Linked DNA regions of Lepisosteus oculatus. The protein of the gene in region 1 interacts with the protein of each later gene in a pairwise test. Links are inferred from orthologs where the notes say so. Each region holds a gene or a part of one and is shown in the gene's direction. Other genes may lie near its edges.

Evidence for each region. The genes of interacting proteins can lie anywhere in the genome.
Region 2: the proteins of syt4 (region 1) and nbr1a interact in binary tests that used the Homo sapiens proteins (3 or more experiments, as listed by UniProt). The two-hybrid records come from large-scale screens. The link is inferred for Lepisosteus oculatus from reciprocal best matches to the Homo sapiens genes SYT4 and NBR1.

Annotation. Positions count from the first base shown.
Region 1 is NC_090696.1:29,394,006-29,404,415, reverse strand, and holds the start of syt4 (synaptotagmin-4), read left to right. Parts: upstream 1-5,812; 5' UTR 5,813-6,168; coding exon 6,169-6,202; intron 6,203-7,805; coding exon 7,806-8,644; intron 8,645-9,815; coding exon 9,816-9,936; intron 9,937-10,410. UniProt on the Homo sapiens protein: Synaptotagmin family member which does not bind Ca(2+). Involved in neuronal dense core vesicles (DCVs) mobility through its interaction with KIF1A.
Region 2 is NC_090723.1:3,608,814-3,619,023, reverse strand, and holds the start of nbr1a (NBR1 autophagy cargo receptor a), read left to right. Parts: upstream 1-6,353; 5' UTR 6,354-6,706; coding exon 6,707-6,808; intron 6,809-10,210. Other genes in the region: psme3 (proteasome activator complex subunit 3), read right to left, coding at 411-529, 1,393-1,447, 2,394-2,498, 3,742-3,804, 3,908-3,940, 4,814-4,855. UniProt on the Homo sapiens protein: Ubiquitin-binding autophagy adapter that participates in different processes including host defense or intracellular homeostasis.

The DNA of each region.
Region 1 (10,410 bases):
TTCTCATCTATAAACATTCTTGTGTTCTTATCTTCTCTTTGCTCATTCAATTCTGTGTACACCAGGATTCACCTTTAAAACAAAAAAAGGGAACGAAAGTAGTTCAATGTAATGCATAAATTGTGTTTTCATCGAGAGCAGCATTATCACCAATAAGCCTGATCTCATCAGATCTCCAGCAGCCATATCACCCTGCAAGTCACAACTGGCAACCCACTAAAGCTAAGCAGGAGTGAGCCTGGTCAGTACCTGGATGGGAGACCTCCTGGGAAAAACTAAGGTTGCTGCTGGAAGAGGTGTTTGTAGGGAAAGCAGGGGGTGCTCACCCTGCAGTCTATGTGGGTCCTAATTCCCCAGTACAGTGATGGGGACACTCTACTGTAAAAAGGTCCTGTCTTTCGGATGAGACCTAAAACTGAGGTCCTGACTCTCTATGGTCATTAAAAATCCCAGGGCGTTTCTTGAAAAGAGTAGGGGTGTAACCCCAGCATCCTGGCCAAATTTCCCATTGGCCTTTATCAATCATGGCCTCCTAATATTCCTCATCTATGAATTGGCTTCATTACTCTGCTCTCCTCCTCACTGATCGCTGATGTGTGGTGAGTGTTCTGGAGCACTATGGCTGCCGTCACATCATCCAGGTGGATGCTGCACATTGGTGGTGGTGGAGGGGAGTCCCCAATACCTGTAAAGCGCTTTGAGTGGAGTGTCCAGAAAAGTGCTATATAAGTGTAAGCAATGATTATTATTATTATTATCATCACAGAAGCTAAGACAGACTGGGCCTGGTCAGTACTGGGACAGGGAAAACCAGGCTGCTGCTATAAGTGGTGTCGGTGGAACGGTAGGTGGCACACCTTCCTCTGGATCAGGCATATCCAAACCCATGCCCCAGTAACTTAACGGGGGACACAATGCTGTAAGAAGTACCATCTTTCAAGTGAGATATAAAACAAAGGTCCTGATTAATTGGTCATCAAAGATCCTTTTGCTGTTCTTAAGAGTAGGGCTGTTAACCCAAGTGTGACACCAAGATTCCACTCTGGGTTTGAACAATCGAGACTCTCTCCTTATTTCTACTGGTGAAATGGTGTAATAATAATAATAATAATAATAATAATAATAATAATAATAATTTCAGTAGTTAAAACTGTAATATTTTCTCATCACCAGCAGAGGACCCTCCTGTCCATAGAACAGTCTTCCTATAGTTATCGTCCATCACTTAATGAGCACTTGTGCAGCTCTGTGTCGTTGAATGTGTGTTTTGTGTGTCTGAGTGTGTTTCTCTGTGTCTGGGTCTGTCCCTGTCTGTTTTCCTGTATGTGAATGTGTATGTGTGTGTGGTTGTGTCTCTCTGTGTTTATTTGTGTCTGTGTGTTTCAGAGTTTATGAATCTTTCTGTGAGGGAATGATTTAGACCACAATAACACTAATCAGCCCCCAGATCCTTTGGATATTGTATTTTGTTCCCTGGGGTGGGTTGGTGTCCCACCCAGAGTGCACCCAGCTTGTGCCCGTTGCTTGCCAGGGGCAGCCATAATTGCAAGAAATGGTAAGAAAATGAATGTTTGGATGGATATTGTATTTTTATATTACCTAGTGGAGACTGGGCAAATATAACTATTTAGCAGTTCTTTTAAACCATATATTTTTGCTTATGGGTGCAGCAGTGTGGAGTTTCTAGACTCATGCCTGGAAGGTTGTGGATTCAAATTCCAGGTGACACACAAATACAAAACTCCTCCCTTCAGGACAGGTTTTCCATGCTCATGGAATTTCGTTACAGATTTGGGTCTGTCTCTTGTGTTATTAACACCCATTTCAAAATACAAAGCCTGCCCTTACTTCTACTTTAATAACTTCTCTCTTCATTGTATCTGTAGAGTTGTGGTCATGCACAGTTTGGTAAGATAGGACATTGGAATAAAAACAAAACATCTCTGATATGATCTGTGCAACCTTGTATGAAAGTCTAGATTTTCAGTACTGGCTGTGCATGGACTGCTGCTGTGGAGGAAGGGAATAGTTATGTGATATAATTGTATTGTGACTTAACCTCTCCTGCTCAGTGGTGATGATGATGATTGTTTGTATTATCTCAGATACACTTTACTTCATTCTTCACTGATCGCATGTTATTGTAGTGTTAGGAATGGTCATGCAAAGTGGTAGAAAGACATTTCATTTTAGCTGGTCTCTTATTTCTGATAACGACACTCCACCAGCTTCCTTGCTCTTTGAAGGGAGTGCGTGTGTCTGTAAAATGGAGCTGAAATTGGTATTCAGTGACACACAGGTGCCCACAGCAAAGAAGACATCTAAGCAGATTTTTTCAAGCAGTGAAAAGGAGAGGGATCTCAAACAGCTTGTCGTTTTTAATTAACCCCCAGGTCACTGCCACTGTGGGCCTGCCCTTGACAATGTCTCAGCCCAGACACTTCAAACTAAATTAAGAGAAAAGAAACAAACAGCTCCCCAACACAGTGACAGCTGAAGTTCTCCGAGGACAGGGACTGTTCGTCCAGCCTAAGACATAGGAGGATTGTTCATCACACCACGAACAACTCTTCTGTTTTCATCAGTTGTTTCATTAATGCAATATGCTAATTGTTTCTCCTATGTACAGTAGTTCCTTATCTATGCAGACCAGATCTCCATCGCTGGGACTAGGAAATGAGACACACCAGGCACTCTGTCCGCTTGTGCAAAACACAGACATGTGCAAAGCATGAAGAGCAACAGCAGCAGCATGTCTTAGATTGATCCCCTGCCTCCTAGTCAGGCATTCGTCATACTACGGCAGCTGTGATGAGGACAGTTGTTGGAGCTGTTCTTGTTTCCTGCTGCTCTCTTCCTCTGTCCTCCAGCGTGCAGGAGCTCTCACTCCTGACCATGCCTCCCTGACTGAGGGAAGCCAGGGACGACCTGGGAAGGATCGATCTTTTGGCACTTGCACAGCTGACCTGGGATTTGGCAGAACAAGGGCTCAGAAAGAGAGAGGGTGAGCACCCATCAGAATGCCAGGCAGATCTTTGATTTATCTTCCAAAAACTCTTAACAGTATGTGCAATTCAACTAAGACCTGAGCAAAAGTACTGAGAAGTCATAAAAACAGAAAATCCAGCATAAGGGACATTTATTCTCTAAACGTGGCACATTCATTTCCTCAAGACACACCAAATGCTCAGCCTAATGACTCCTCATACAGCGCCCAGAGTCAATACATTACTCCACTCCATTTACCAGGGGCTCACAGCTTAGTCACAAGCCGCAGTAATTTCATTTTTTTTCTTCGTTGAATGCTTTTGCTTGGCTGAACCGTTTTGTCAAAGAAAGTCAACTCATCTGCAGAGCAGAAATGTTTGCAATGAAGTGAAGGGGCAGTGGAGCAGAAGGGTAATACTGTCAGCCAAACACATATCCAGAAGCTGCTGAAGTTGAGCATGTCAGTGGGTTTTTAAACATTTATGTTTGGTGCGCTGTTTCTTTTGCAGTCTCCCCCAGGCTACTGCGTGCAAATCATCATGAATAATGTGGGAGGCGTCTCAGCTCCCCCTGCACACGTTCCTCCTGGGTGTCCAGGATCCAGGATTGAAGAAGCCTTTAGTGTCCGTCATTTACTTTCCTGCCCTACTGGCTCTTGACCTCAGCATGAAGACCTGCCTGGCTCACTGTGTGAGGTCAAGATGACAAAGCCTGATTCCCCCTTCACACAAGCTAATGCGATCTTCATTGTTGAAAAAAAACATTCAAGCATTTCATTACCTGAAGTAACTGTTTTTCTCTGTCTACTGAATTCCTCCAAGCGTCTGAGAGAGATGTTGAGTTTTCATGTTTATAAAACAGATCTATCCCACATTTTCTGTAAAGCACAGGCCTGGAGAGAAGCTGCTGTAATGCAGGCTAGAGTTCCAGATCAGATGAGAACGGATAGCATTAAGGTGTTTCTTCCTGTGTCTCCACCATTACTGACACTTATATAGTACTTTTCTGGACACTCCAGGCATAGCTCTTTACAGGTAATGGAGACTCCCCTGTACCACCACCAATGTGCAACCCCAGGATGATGCAACAGCAGCCATAGTGCACTAGTACACTTCAGCTATGATAAGGAGAAGAACAGAGTGATGAAGTCGATTCATAGATGGGGAGGCCATGATTGGTAAGGGCCAATGGGAAATTTGGTCAGGACGCCGGGGTTACGCCCCTACTCTTTTCAAGAAACGCCCTGGGATTTTTAATGACCACAGAGACTCAGGACCTAGAGTATAGTGTCCCCCTCACTATACTGGGGCATTAGAACCCACACAGACTGCAAGGTGACTGCCCCATGCTGGCCCCACTAACACATCCTCCAGCAGCAACCTTAGTTTTTCCCAGGAGGTCTCCCATCCAGGTACTGACCAGGCTCACACCTGCTGAGCTTCAGTGGGTTGCCAGTTATAAGTTGCATGGTGATATGGCTGCTGGCTATGGGCAGCTCTCATTGTCGATTTATTACACAGTGACACACAGATTATGTATACTCAAGATATTAAAGAATAAACATTATAAATGTAAGGAGGCCATTTAGTCAATTCACCTGTTTGGTAGGTATTAGCTAATCAATCCATGAATCTCATCCAGCTTTTTCCTGAAATAATCCAGGGTATGTTGTTCAACAACATGTCTAGGTACTTGGCTCAGGACTGCTATAGCCCTGTATGTCAAACAAAGTTATTTCTGTTCTGAGGTTTTTGTGCATTTCCTCATAGGTTCTATTTGCCTCTCCTGGCTGGTTTTCACTGTTGATACTGTATATGTCTGAAGATTTCGAGTAATGCTACAAATGTCCCCCTTTTCACAGTCGGTATACAGAGGTGAAGATGAAGATCCAGTGAACACACGACCAAGGCACTGAAACCCTGCTTCACCAGCACAGGCGCGAGTAGTGTTTCAGTGGTCTCCACTACGAGGCTGACTGAGGGCGAGTGAGGTTGAGGGGGGATGGGGGGAGGTTCAAAGCTCATGATGACAATCACAGCAGAGAAGGCAAGGCTCATCTTACCCTTTGAGTAACCAGGACTTCCATTAGTAAGAAAATGCCCAGATAAGTTGATAGAGATAAATTTAAACTTGGCTATGAACAGCTTCAGAGAGCTTCTGTGTATACATTTTCTGCTTCATTAACAGAGCTTCAGAATCCACATGCATTGGAATAACTGAGGTACTATCAAATTCCTAACAGCCAAGGCAATCTGAGTATCTGGTCTGGAATGCATGAAAAAGGAAAGACCATAGAGATTGTGACTGCTTAATTCTGCATAGAGGCTAATCAATTAATATTAATTCACCAATGTTGAAACAGCATCCAAATTAAGAAATGTTAGCTTCTCTGAGAATAGATGTGATGATCGGGCACAGTTTAAGGGTGGGGTCTCTGGCTGTAGCTCAGAAACAGTCAGAGACAGCCTGCTGAGCCAAAGCAGAGAACGCTTTTGGCAGTAAAATCAGCCTGGGGTCATGGGAGGTAAGGATGGATTGATGCCTTGTCTTTAATCTCTGTCTTTGTCCTATCCTTCCCATGCACAAACGCTCTAACTTACATGTTTCTAATGACATGTACTTCTTGTCTTGAATTTCTTTCCTTTGCCCAGTTCAGAGTAATTTTCCTCTGGCTGGTATGATGTATATATTTTTGCTGTGAAATGCAGCAAGGATTAACTTCCCGCAGGCAGGCGGTTACAATAATTGATGAGCCTGTTAGCCTGCCCTGCCATTCCTTGGAGAAAAGGCGGTGATTTCACACAGCTTCGTCAGAACTGCGTCAGAAGCAGAGCAGCCGTGGGGAGCACAGAGCCGAGCCGACGCCTCAGAGGCGCTCAGAGCTCAACGAGTGACCGTGAAAGAAAGTACGACAGAAGTGCTTCGGGGAGAACACGGGGAAAAAAACCACCAAGTTTTTAATATTATTAAAAAAAGAATAATAACAAAACATTTCGGTACCTTTATATGTAGATTTTCACATTTCTTTTTGATCGACAAATTAAAATACGAATCAATTTTCAACTGAAAGGCAGGCATTCGAGGGCTGAGTCGCAGTGAAAGCCGGAGCTGTCGAGGGTACACTCAAGCGCTGGAACACAGGAGTGTGCTTTCAGCACCTCGGACAGAGCACCACGCGTCATGGCGCCAGTGATTGCAGAGGGAGCGCAGTTCGGTAAGACCTTTGATTTTCTTCACGCGTTATGCCCTCCGACGGAACGTAACAGGCTGTCTGGATAGAGATTGCAGTTTACAATAACAGTTTTCAGCGAAAGAAAAAGGATCGCTTCATTGTGTCTGTAGAGAGGCCACATTGAATGAAAAATAATACCATTGAATTTAGTTCTAATTGCAAATTCCAGCATTTTTATATTTATTTTTCACGGCGTAATAATCGTATCAGCTATTGCCTTTATTTTCTGTATTTGTCATTAAAAGAAATCCCCCGTAAGTAAATGAGACATATTCAGTTATTTCATGCTGAGGACAAAGATAGGCAGATGACATGTGTTTGGATGAAAACCAAGGTAATTGGTAGATTTGTTTTGCTGCGATTTTGGTTTGTAGAAACATTCGCCGCTTTTCTACTCTTGGAAAGCACGATTGGAATAAAAGAATGATGTTTTTTTGTCTGTTACGGAAAGACCTGCAGCAAGTAGGATGTGGATTCTGGTGTGGCTGCTGAATCCCCAGGATTGTGCAATTCTGAGTCACTGTAGATTCCTGCCCTACTGTGTTACTTAGACCAGTGGACACACTGTCTGCTTCTGCAGAGAATCTTCTGGGAGGGGGAGGTGTGTGAGGGGGGTGGAAAGACAGAGTAGCACATCACGATGTCTGACAATGCTGCTGCCCCAGCCTGGGTGGTGAGGGCTAGACACATAGAAGTTGATAGGGGAAAGCAGAAAAGATAGAATCAGTGAGGAAGAGTGTAAACAAGGGTTAAACACACACACACACACACACACACACACACACACACACAACACACAGAAGACTCGGGGGACCTGTTTCAGACCAGTTGTGTTCTACTGATGTGTTGATTTCTCAGCTGCATTAACACAAGCTGCAGGCAACATGAACCACGCACTGCGCTGACGAAAATGGTTAATATCTTCTGATACATATAGACAGACGGACACAATCAAATGATGAATCATTTTCACTTCAGAGTGCCATTTCATAGTATACTCCATCTCATACGGATTTTCAAATTCAGGGCGCAACAGGGAACGGCGCAGTTTCAGGTTACCTGACATGTATCATTCTGTACCTCAACAAACAAGAGGTACAGAACTCAAATCAATGTATTAATATTAATTTAAATCAATAAAATTTACAATAATATTCAAACATTTCTATGAACCTCTCTAAGAAAGGGCTTAATACTAGTTGAAGTCATGATAGGGGAAAACAAGACAGATTGTGCACACAGGAATACACACAGACACACACAGAAACTGATGCTTGCACATACAAACACGTACACAAACCAGCGCTTACACATGCACGAATGGATGCTTACGCACAGATACTTGCACACACACACACAAACCTATGCTTGCACACAGAAACTGTCACTTGCACGCACACATAACCCAGTGCTTCCACACACACAAACTGATGCTTACACACAAGCCGATTCTTACACACACAAACATACAAAATGACACTTAAACTCAGTTTCTTGAGCACTCGAACGCCACACTGGCTCTGTAGTCCCAGTTTGCAGCTGCAGCCGTGCAGATTTCTCATGTCTGTTCTCTCCTGTATTGTAGCCGAGGTCCCGGCCGCAGTGGGAATCATCAGTGCCTTTGGACTGGTCTTCACCGTCTCTCTGTTCGCATGGATATGCTGCCAGCGCAAGTCAGCTAAATCCAACAAAACTCCTCCCTACAAGTTTGTGCACATGCTGAAGGGGGTGGACATCTATCCTGAGAGCCTCACCAACAAGAAGAAGTTCGGGGCTGATGAGAAAACAGAGCTGGCCAAGTCCACGCCCAGCCCTGCCAGCGCCAAGACCGCCCTCCACCTGGACCTGGAGAAGCGAGACCTCAACGGCAACTTCGCCAAGCCGCACCCCCGTGTGCGGAGCTCGCCCGAGCTGGACATGCCCTCCCCGCATGGCTGCTTCCCAGAGGAAGGCAAGGAGCCAGCCTCCCCGGAGAGCGTGCCCTCCAGCAAGGCGCTAACGCCGGCGGACAAGCCCCCCGACCGAGAAGCGGGGCTGGGGACCCTTTTCTTCTCGCTCGAGTACAACTTCGACAAGAAGGCCTTCATCGTCAACATCAAGGAGGCGCACGGGCTGTCCGCCATGGACGAGCAGTCTCTGACCTCCGACCCCTACGTCAAGATGACCATCTTGCCTGACAAGAAGTACAAGGTGAAGACCCGCGTGCTGAGGAAGACCCTCGATCCCGCCTTCGATGAGACGTTCAGCTTCTACGGGATCCCCTACAGCCGGGTGCCCGAGCTGGCTCTGCACTTCATGGTGTTGAGCTTCGACCGCTTCTCGCGGGATGACGTCATCGGCGAGGCTCTGGTGCCCCTGGCGGGGGTTGACCTCTCGGAGGGGCGTGTCCTCATGACCCGCGAGATCATCAAACGCAACGTCAGGGTAAATAGCGATTCTCGGGAGGGAGGGGGAGTCCACACAACACTGTCACACAGGGACAGAAAACACGCAGCGATCAAACACATTTCAGAAACAGAGCTTGTGCGCTGTAATGAAACAGAGACAAGATAAGCAGAGGAGGTTTTGCAGTTTATTTAAGTCTCAGTATTCAGAAACCTTAGATGCAAAGAAAACATCATCCCAGTGCATGTATTTTAGCATAACAAATACCTGAGAATTCAGAGTATTAAATACTAAATGAATATTAAATGAGTAATAAATATTAAATATTAAAAGAGTATTAAATAGAACCTATGACATTAGAACACACCTTTTTACAGAATGAATCATGGGTGCCTGGAACCAATTACCAAATAATTTTAAAGCTATTTTCTGCTTGGAGACGTTTTTAATTGCAATTTCCTAAATAGAAAAGATCGACAGAATGGCCTACTCTCATACTGTATGTACCTTATTCGCTATTTCGCTATTCAAGATGCCATATATGTATACAGTTGTGCAAAAGCATTACACAACTAACAGAATTAAGTGATCTTCAATTCACATTGATCTGAACCTTTAAAAATCTGATATCCATAACACAAGGTCAGCTAAAGAAGAGCAGTCAATATGAAGGGCTGTGGTAGCTAATCCATCACATTTACCAATCAAATCTAATTGACTCATTGTCAGGTCTTCTTTTCAATATGTCCATACAGTTAAATGGCTATTTTGTATACTACAAAATACGTATCAAGATCAACTGTTGGATTAAAACAAAACAGATACTACAACAGTAAAGTATTATTACAGGAATGTTTTGGTTTCAAGAAGGACTAATACAGAAATCAAAAGAACAGTGTAAAGTGTTTGATTTTTTTTACAGCTGTGTGTATATTTTTTTCTAACCATTTCAGAACAGACAGCAATATGGAAATTATAAAATGAAATCAACCTTTTCCTCCTCTGTTTTCTTTTACGTTGGATCAAGGTAAAATATAAGCGAGGGTGAACACATGTTCGGAGACTCTCCGTGAAGTGATTGGTGAAGAAATGAAAAAGATAAATAGCTCTGGAGAAAGGCAGCAATATCACACTGCACATAGACATGAGCAATACTGGTATCGAAGGTGATGAGCTCTGGTTTTCATTCCCTCTCTCTGTGTCTCTGCAGAGGTGTGTGGGCAGAGGGGAGCTCCTGCTGTCTCTGTGCTACCAGTCGACCACCAGCACTCTGACCGTTGTGGTGCTGAAGGCACGCCACCTGCCCAAGACTGAAGCCTCCAGCCTTTCAGGTACAGCTCAGGATATGGGGTCCCTCGAGGCCTTCTGCCTTTTAAACCATCAACAGCTGGGAGGCAAGGAAAGGGGGAAATGACCACAGTTGAGACAGTAAATAAAACTAGGTGAAAGCACCCAGGTGGACTGAAGATCAGAAAACCCTACAGAACCAGACCTCAGAGACGTACTTTAACCATCTTTGTCAAACAATAGCAAAATTTCTGATTTATATGATATGTCTGTGGTAGGAAGAAGATTTATTGTTTCAGTGGTTCAGGCTGCTCATTTCTGCATTCATGGTTATCGAGACAAATGTCTGGCCTTCATGTGCCAGAGTGGCTGGTCCACCCTTCTTTTCAGTATTTTGACACAGTGCTCAGACTCAGCTGTTTTCTTGCGTAGATCTGGGTCAGGAGTGTGCATGTCGCTTTGCCAAGGTCAGGGTGTGCTGCAGTAAACCAGGAAGAGCAGCAGATTCTCTAGAGGAA
Region 2 (10,210 bases), on another chromosome or scaffold:
CACCATCACCTGATGGGGGGGAAATGCCAGGCATTCCTAATCCTTTTAAAATAGCCTTGGAGTGCTTTCACTTCAGGTTTCAGATCAATTCAGATCACAATTTTACTAAAAGCAACGTGGTCAGAAGCAAAAGACTTAATAAGATGAGGCTGAGCATTTGTCCCAAATCATGACATGTAAAGCTGTATCAATCTCTAGCCACTGAGAGGACCACGGGGCCTTGATTCACTGTCAGTGATTTAAAGAAGCAATTAGCTATTCCCCTGGCATGGAAAAGATTTTAACTTTAAGAAGCTTGGAAAACCTGCTGGATTCTGGAACACAGTGACTGAAGACAGGAATCTCTGGGAATGTCCAACACATGAACAACATCTCCAGGAGTATCCACCAGGTGTCCAGCAGGAACCTACTGTATTGCATTTCTCTATCAGGGTTCTGATCTCCGGCTTGACTTTTTCAATAAGGTCCACCAGCTTGTTGTTGCTCTTCATCATTCCCCCTGGCATCACAAACACCTTGGTGCCAGTCACTGCACAGAAGAAGAAATCAACATCACTATAGCAAAGCAACAGGCATCCTAAAGGCAGAGAGGTCTCCCATTTCATTTGGTACCGCCATTCCCTCCTGCGTGTGCAAAGAAGGAGGCTTGCAAGTCAATGTGGATGGGTTAGGGGAGACTGCCTACTCCTCCTCATTCTCCCCTGTGCGGCTGCAGGATTCATGACTACAAACTGAGATACAAAAACTCAGCTGGCTATTTCTAATTGGGTGTGTAGCAGAAAAATAAATGTTGATTCTATGGGATTTGAAAAAAAAGTACAGCAGGAAAGAAAGATCTTGGAGAGCAGTCTAGTAAAGTAGCAAAATAACACAGGACTCATTATAAACAAGGTCATTTGTTTTGTAGTTGGCAGCTGATTGATCCAGGTTTTCATCCAAATGTTCCTTAAGGGAAGCCAGGGTATCAGCTTCAACAGGTTGGCTTGCTAGCTTGATTCAGACGCCCACAACCCTTTGGGTACAGAAGAGCCTCTTGGTCTCAATTGTAATTGCACTTCCCCATTGGCTTCTCAATGGCTAATGCATAACACTCTGCATTACTTACTTTGACCTAGTCTAGGAAACGTATCACAGTAGAAAACCACACACAAGTCATATTGTAGGGCAGGTAGGACAGGGATGTAAATAGAAAAAATATGCAAATGCCTTAAACAGCCCCTTTAACTTGTAAGCAATCAAAAAGGGCACATGCACACTACCACGCAACTACGACACCCATTTAATAGTTTGACATCTCAACCTTTCTCTGCACAAGCACCACATCCAGCAGACCGGCTTGGCACAACACACAATCGCCAGCCTAGACGTCACTAATGACACTCAGGAACCCACCTTGGCAGTTGTCATCTCCTGCCCCATCTTCCAGCTTCCTCTTCTTGGTGTTCTGCTGCAACGCAACAGTTTCATTTAAACATAAGTGGCCTGTCGCAGCTCTGCCTGGGCACTGTGCTTTTCTCACAAGGTTAGGAAAATGAACGCATGCCTTTAGCTCAGGAGATTGAATTAAATCAGTATGTTAAGCCAGTCTAGTGCAGGGAGAATAGCTTCCAGGTTATTTATTTTTTTTTTTACACCCACCAACTTGGAATCAGCTGACTCAGATCAGATCAAATCTAAAACCCGTACTGGCCTGCAAGAATAGAGGGCCAGCATCTAACAGTCCTCGTCCCTCTGGCGAACCAATCCGGGCCTGCCCGATCCAGTCTGGTTCTTATATATATGACACACGATGTCACAGACGGTGTAAGAGGAGAGTCACTGGGCAGAAAAGCTTCTCTGAGAGAGCACCGGTTTCCATCGAACAGGAAACACTAAGAATGTCCCCAACACTACAGGATAAAAAATAGAATACTCTTGGCATATTTCGTGCGATGGCACCTCAGATTTTACCTCATGCCTGCTGTTGGCGATTCCAAACGAATTTAAAACAATTGTTACAATGACAAATTTTCACTTTTCTACAAAAAAAAAATCTAAGACCAATTGTTTTGTGGTACAATTTTCTCTTAATCAAGGGTACAGACATGAAATAATAGCCTAAATAAAAGGTGGGCTGCAGGAAAATAACTGAAAATGTTGGGGAGGAAAGTATGAAAAGACCTCATTTGCTCCTAGCTTGTACGAAGGCCATAGTATTTAGATGAACTGATAATTCCATGTGGGAAGGGTATGTTAAAAATAGAACCATTGTCAATTCTGCATTGAAAACAAAATATTAAACCTCCATGTAAATTAGCCCTCAAACAGGCTCAGCCATCAATCCAACTGTTTGGACTGATCGGTTTTATCAGCTTTTAAAAAACAAGGCTCAAGAGGAACAGCATTATACTCACAGGCTCCAGCCCATCGTGGCTGTTTGTGAGGATGATGGGGTCAGGCACGGATAAATTGATCTCTGAATGGATGTCTTTCAGCTCAATGATGTTTAAGATCGGGTCCTGTAGAACAGCAGATCAAGGCACAATGAAAACACATGTGAACGTCAGCAGCAAAAGGTTCTGCCTTGAAACCGGACCACAGCCTTCATCTGAAGAGTCCTGTCAAACCACCAGCCTTGGAGACACGTAACTTTATCCTTTCCTTTAACATCCAAGGAGTGATGATTAGTCCTTGAGCTCAGAGACCTCAGCTTGTTTTAAGACCTCATTAGGCTTTAACTGTTCCTTCGTCAAAACAGAAAACACAAGTCCTTTCCCCCCAAGCATATCTGCTTTTTAACATTTTTCGTTAGTTCCCTTCTTGAGGAAATAACCACAAGGCAACAGAGAAACATTTCTCTCTCCCGTTCGGCTGAGCAAGGGGTAAAGCTCTATTCGCTCACCATATGACAGTCACACAGCATTGGTCACGTACTCGGCAGTGATCGTTCAAACCAAGCACCAGACCTTAAATCTCTTCAGTAACTCCAGAAAATGTGAGGCTCCACGTTACTGAACTCAATTCTAGCTTGATTCACACATTGATTCCAGCACTGCTGTGGTGCCCAAGACGTAAGGCTGCTAACTTAGAAATGTTAATTAACTTCACCCAGTACAATTCATGGTTCTGGGAGTGCGGTGACCTTTTTAAGCCTCTCTCGGACGTAGATATCTGGCTACACGGAGGGGGCTTACACCCTCTCCAGAACTTCGATCTGCACGAAGGTGGTTATTTTTCTCCTCTGCGGTATTATTGCCATCCCATCAGCTCTCCGACCCAAAGGTCTGGCTAGGGTGTAGTAAGCGTTGATTTCAGCACAATGAACAGCAAGTCGTGTAGGTGAACCAGCAGGGGGCAATCTTCTGTTGAAGACAGAATTACTAATTGAAGAGCCCCACTATGGGGACAGGGAATACCGTGCTGTACAATGATTTCAGATGAGATTGAACTAATGTCCTGATTATTTGGTTGTTAAAAGATCCCTTGAAACAGTTTTTCCAGAATTGGTATGTTAAGCAAGCATCTTGACTAAATCCCATTCTGGGCTTGCATGATCCAGCATGGCTAAACGTCTGGAGTAATTCTCACCACAACTGATTGGTGATTTGCTTTTCAAAGGTGAATAAAGTGCTCTGGGAACCACTAACAAGGAAAGTGCAGTTTAAACGCAATTCGTCTTCTTCCAGGTCTCCTCAGCTGTGGATAGGAGCTCTTACACAACGAAAACCGCGCAAACATAACGGTAAAAATCGAAAGACTTACCTTAAGAAAATGATCGAGTTCCAGTAACTTCTTTGGAAAGAAATTTGCGACTAAGTCTTCTGCCTAGAAAAGTAAACATTGGGAAATGCGAGCTCTAAGTACAGTACAACTTAGTTTTTTATTTACGTTAAAAGAATCGTTTTAATTTGAAAGCAAAAGTACTTACTTCACCGGTGATTCGTTCTCTGAAAGCATCAACCTGTAGAAAGAGTAAACGTAAATCGGGGTCCACAACTAGACTGTCAAAGACTGAAACGTTACCCGTCTGTGTAGAACATTGCCAAGGCTGTGCATTTAATACAGTAACGTAAGATTACGCTTGAAACAGAATACAGCACAAATGCAATAACACGTGAACATGATGCTGGCCAATATATCTACTGGGTGCAAGATTTTTCATTCGTTTTCGCTGTCTGTAGCTTCATCGGGACTGTCTCCTGAACCGAATTGTTTTGTCACTCAGTTTTTATATAAATATATGAGCACATGCGCCGTGCGACTCTGAAGATATAGATTTCGAATAAGATAAACACCCAAGATATCCGGCTCCAAGGAAGTAGCTGTTGAAGGGACAGCAAAAATGTTTACGATCGTTTTTATTCTTTGACACAGCTCTTGGGATTGGACCCGGACATTCACTCAAAACAATAAACAGGACACGTGTCAAAAAACACGAATTCCAAACGCAGGCCAAATCGCACTGAATTTATTGTGCATTACAGGCGCTACGATCATACTATTATTTCACATTATGGAAAAGACTCAACCACAAACGCCTTAATTTCGACAGCAGCAGACACGCACCTCCGGCCAGAATGAAAGAAGGGGCAATACTATTGGAAATATCGGAATATACGGAAATATCCTGTTTTAACTTCAGATAATTCCATATAAATCGACATACGCAGAGCAATTATGACTATATCTGTGAAGCACAGCGCGGGAAAGCCAGGCGATTATGCTAGGCACTTATTTAATACCCCGGCCTTGTGTTACAGAAAAATTTCCGACTGTTCAAATTTCAACACCACATCCCCCTCGCGTCAGTCTTTCTCGGATTACCGTCTCTTACCTTAGTTTTGATTTCATTGTCCACTTTGAGGAGAGAAGACATTCTATTTTCAGACAAATAGGGAAGGGAATCTGAGATCGTATTAACAGAAATAACCGTGTGGCTCCTTTCAGCTCCTATTCACAGCCACAAGGTATCAAAGGGAGAGAACGAGAAATGACGTAGAAAAGCCGCGACGACAATGAGAGGCGAGGAAAATCACCCAACCACGTGGAAGTAGCGTGAAGCTGGCTACACTAAGCGACACGAATGACCCGGAAGTGTATGTCAATAGCCGAATTTCAATCAAAATAAAAGACTTTCAGCTACCACAGCAGCTTTTGAGGAGTAAAGCAACATTAAGCGAAGTGACAAGCAGCTGAAACACCTGCTTTATTTCGTCATGGTTAATTTGAGAGAGTCCTTTTTTAAATTTTAAATCGCCTCCACTTATCTCCAAGTTTGACAAATCTAAGATTATTAGAAGTTTGTATTAATTTTACAGCCCCTTTCTACTACTGTAATATACTGCTATATTTTTTTTTCATAAAAATGTTTCTGTTCAATGAAAAAGGTTTTAAGATGCAAGCTTTTAAAGGAGTTGTATCTGAAATTTGTAATTAAATAAAATCCTTTATTATATTTAAATTCAATCATTTTTTTAAACTATAACCAGGGACAAAAACATTTTGTGCACAATCAAAAGTGGTGAAACATACAATGTTAAGACAGTCAGTCAATAGCAAATCACCCTTCTTCATTCCGTTTTAAGTTTTTATTAATATTGTTGGTCTGGGTGGATCACCTCTAGAAAAACTGCAGTGCAGAATTGGATGGGGAAAATTTGTGCCTCTCCAAAGGTGGATGCAATCTATTGCACAGACCCTCAGCTGATAGAAAATCACCTTGTTTTTGTCAGACAAGTGTCTCTGTCAAAACTGCTGGGGTCTGTAGAGCACCTCCCATCCCCAGACTGAGACCGTGCACTGATGGACAGGGAGCGGTCTCACCCACCTCCCGACCAAACACAAATTTGTGCCTCTTCAAAAATACCTCATATCTATTCTACAGACCCTCAGCTTATAGAAAATCGCCATGGTCTTGTCAGATAAGTGTCTTTGCTAAAGTTGCTGGGGTTTATAAGACCGTAAAGTACGGGCCTTGTGTAGAATCACGTGATCCGCAGAGCACCATATTACCAGCAGTTGGTTATCATTCTCTTGTCTTTATTTATTTATGCATAAACAATAACAACAAATACAATACAAACAAGCGTACATATAACATTTTACGACAAAAACATCGTCAGGGGGTACATATTACAAAATAAATTCAAATTATGAAAAACGTTTAATCTTTCTCTTATGTCCATCCAGGGTTAGAATCACAGGTATCTGTGTAATCTGCATTGTCATGAAACATTTGAAAGAAACTATAATTAGCATCTGCAAATACAAATATAACTGATTTACAGAATATGACATGTATTGCGATATGTTGTAAATCAGTATACGCCTTTAAAGCAATGTAGCTTAACATCTGCTACAGCAGATGAATGAATAGGTATCGTTAACTTATATTCATAGGAAAAACACAATTTGGCATCATCATGGTCAGAAGCGGGAGCCTAAAATGATATAAAGAAACACCTGTCAAACCCAGCGCGATCCACTCGTCTCTCCCGGTTTGAGAGTGCGCATGTACCCTCTTGATGACGTCGGGCGACTTCCTGTCACGTGGGGGCCCGTGTTTACCGCAGATGTAAACAGAAACTGTGGGGAGAAGAGCTTCGTGGCCGAGCTCCGGAGGCAGGCGAGAAGCTGGCTTGTAAAAGAAGAAGACCGTGCCATCGAGTAGATCGCGCTGCTTCTTTGTTGGATGACCTTTGCAGACTTGCACATCTGACAGACGGCCATGGACTCCCCCGTGAGCTTGAAGGCGCATTTTAAGGGACGGGCGGAGAGCCTGCTGGTGTCGGACTCGGAGAGGACGCGCTGGGAGGCGGTGGAAGTGGCGGTGAGCCTCCGGCGCGGCGGTCGGACCTCGGCGTCGGCCTCCCCCCCCCCCAGACACGGCCCTTCTCGAAGTTTCTCCTCAGTTTAAAATCCTGCTTTGCTTCCGTTTCAGGGCCAGTTTGAAATTCCGACGCGCTGTGTATGCGTACGGGCGATAATAGGATTTCCGTGCCGTGCGTGATGTCAGACATTAGAAACGTCATAAATCGTAATCGCAACGAGTAGCCCTTATATCCAATTAATAAAGACCTGGCTCATTCTTTTACACACACTGTACTGTGTTGGTAGCAAAACTATCAATACAGGAGTCATAAAAGAGTCGTGAATGACTGCCCGAGGTTCTGTGCGTGAACTGGGAAAATACCACAAATATGTTTACCTTAACAATCGAAATCATAAATTACAATTAGTTCAAATCTACTTGGAAAACAACCTTATCTGTTATGAACGCTGGGTAGGAGGGCTGCCTTGTTTGCTCCTACAGATCGGCGCCGTTTTAATTTTTTTTTTAAGAATACTTATGTCATATAAAGAGGAGAAATGTTTCTGACAGGTTTGTGGGGCATTGAAGAAACACTGTGTTAAAGGTCACGAAGGCATGACCTTTCGATACCGGAACAAAACGGAGACATTGTATTATTTTCCTGCAGGCGAGTGAGTCATCCGCGGTGACGCAGCATGTCCTTAATGCTTACAGTCGAGATGGAAACCACTCGCATCTGTTCTCCTCGCCCTTACGGAGAGATCAAACAAACAGCCCATAGTAATCAGGAACAGTTTGGAAATGCACATATCCACCCGCGGTGCCCCCATCAGAGTAGAAAGTGAGAAAAAAGAAGACTCGTCCCGTGTAAATGTTGTTTTAGATGGTCCGGCCACCTGCCCGAAAACCATTTTGCATTCTTTGGCGTTTTATTGTGAATACTGTATCTGGCTTGGGACAGCTCTTTCAGAGCACAACATCCCTACATAGGTTCACAGTACATATTGCATGTTAGTCAACATACAATAGGATGACTAAAAACAACAGCTCTTTTCCATTAAAGCTACAGAAAGACAGCGGATCAGTTGCAGCGACCTGAAAGCGCCGTTACAGCTGGAGTACAGGCCGGTGTTGGCACGCAGCTCCATGAACTAGTCCTTGAGACCAGTGGCAACGAATCTGGCCGCTGAAATGAGCCCGCAGCTCCGTACTGAACTTGGTCTCAGTTGCAACAGCTGCTGCCCTCTAGAGCTCACTGAGCAGGGAAATCGCCTCTTCGCATGGCTTAACTTTAAACGAATTAACAGCGTACTAAGCGGAACTTGGGGTCACATTAGAACCTTCTCGAATATAGTGGAAATATCGTCACTAAGTAATGAATTTATGCGTCCGTGGCTTTTTGTTAATTTAATATTATCCTAATATTTAACTAAAATCGCCTTTCAGACACACCGCAATTATCCATAATGAAGTTAATTAGTAAACGTGTTTATTAATAAAAGTGTAATTTATTTATAATGAAGTTTAATGCTGTATTACAGCAAATGTATAGAGCCCTTAGTATGCGATTGTGACTTTTCAGATGTCCCGGGAAGTGGACATAGCTGAAAGTAAATACATCTTTAAATTGGGTGTAAATTTCAGATGTGTTCTGTCTGCAATGGTATAAATGTATCTCAATACATAAAATTAAAATAGCAACGTGTTCGCTTATTAGTCTGTCGGATCTCCGTAGGAATCTTATCTCATCAATGGGAATAAAAGCGGCTATAATACAAGTTCAAACTGAAACCCGCAACTACTGTTCTCGTTTGTTTCGTTCCCTTATCTGCTATATTTTTAACATAAACGCCGTTCTAGAATTTAAAATAACATTACATTGCCAGGGACATTCAAATATAACTATGGCCTATATGTTAATTTACTGATTAGAGTGAGTGCACGTTCTCCCCACGTCCAGGTGGGTTTCCTCGGGGTGCAACAGTTATCGCCCACAGTCCAAAGACATGCTGGTAGATTAACTGTCCTTAGTTAGAGAGTGTGCGTGTCTGTCTGTCTGTGTGTGTGTGTGCCCTGTGACAAAGTTGTCTCCTGCCCAGGGTGCACCCTGCCTCGTGCTTGTTGCTTGCTGGGAGAGGCTCCAGCTCCCCTGCGACCCTAAATTGGATGAAGTGGTAAAAAAAATGGACTGATAGAATCAACTGCATGGGATACAGCAGTAACAATATTAACAACAGCTTGTTTTAGAGAAGCAGGGCGATTGTTAATAAACTTGCCTAGCAGCTACCCCGTTAAGCAAGCATGACGAGCCTTTTCCAAGTGCTTATGTAAAACAGTGGCAGAGGAATTTTCTGTAATTAAATTTGCCAAATTCTCTTGTGGTGTGGGTAAAACGCCAGTGACAGCTTTCTGTGCATGCCTTCCCCACATGATAAGGGCATTAGTATAGTTGCTCTCTTATCTTGGGTCTGAAAATTAGAACGGAAGGCTTAGTGAAGCATAAAATGTTCTTTTTAATTAATTGAAACGGCTTTCCTGAGCCCCATGACATGCAATTCAATGTGGTTCTCTAGAGGAAGAGGAAAAAACCCCAATAGTTTCAACACAGCAGATTAGAGCTCATGTTTTGCCCCACCTAATTACATGATACTTTGGCTTATCACCACCTTCTCATGAAAACGTTCCTCATCTTAGCCAGGTTTGAGAAGCCCTAAGTTGTGGCTTTCATGTTTAAAGAATAGAATGCCTAAAACGGAACTATGGTGGGATGTTTTTTTTAACTTTTAAAGACATCTAAGGCATTAAGGCTTATTTGTTCAGAAAGGGCTGTATTTTTTGTGTGCTCATTCTCTCAGCTGGACTAAGGTCTGTGCCACACATGCTTTATGCAGCAGCTTTGCAATCCTGTAAACTCAAATGCATGCCTCCTTAACAAAAAAGAAACCTGACAGCAATAAAAGTAAGACTAGAGGATGCCATTGGGTTTGACTCTCTCATTTGATCGTTAGCTGCTGAATTGAATTGAGCATCTTGCCCAGGTGCGTCTTAAATGATCTCAGGTTGATCACTTAGCTTCACCGCCATTGCCAAGTTGTTTGTTCTGAAGCAGACACCCACAACTTATCGTGTAAAGGCGTGTCTCCAATTTGCGGTTATAAATTAACTTATTTTTCTCCACGTGTCAGCAGCATTATAAGATTTATATGTTAAGCAAGGCTGGGGCCGTGTCAAGGCTATAGGAGACCTCTAAAGTGAACCAGGCTGCTCCTGTATGTGGTATTTCCACACTAGTGCTACAAATTGCCCTTTAGCTGAGATATTAAACCAATATCCTGACTACTTGGTCTTTAAAGACCCTATGGAACTATTAGAGGTTTTAACCCGGTCTCCTAAGTAAACTCCACTTTGGGCTTGTGCGAT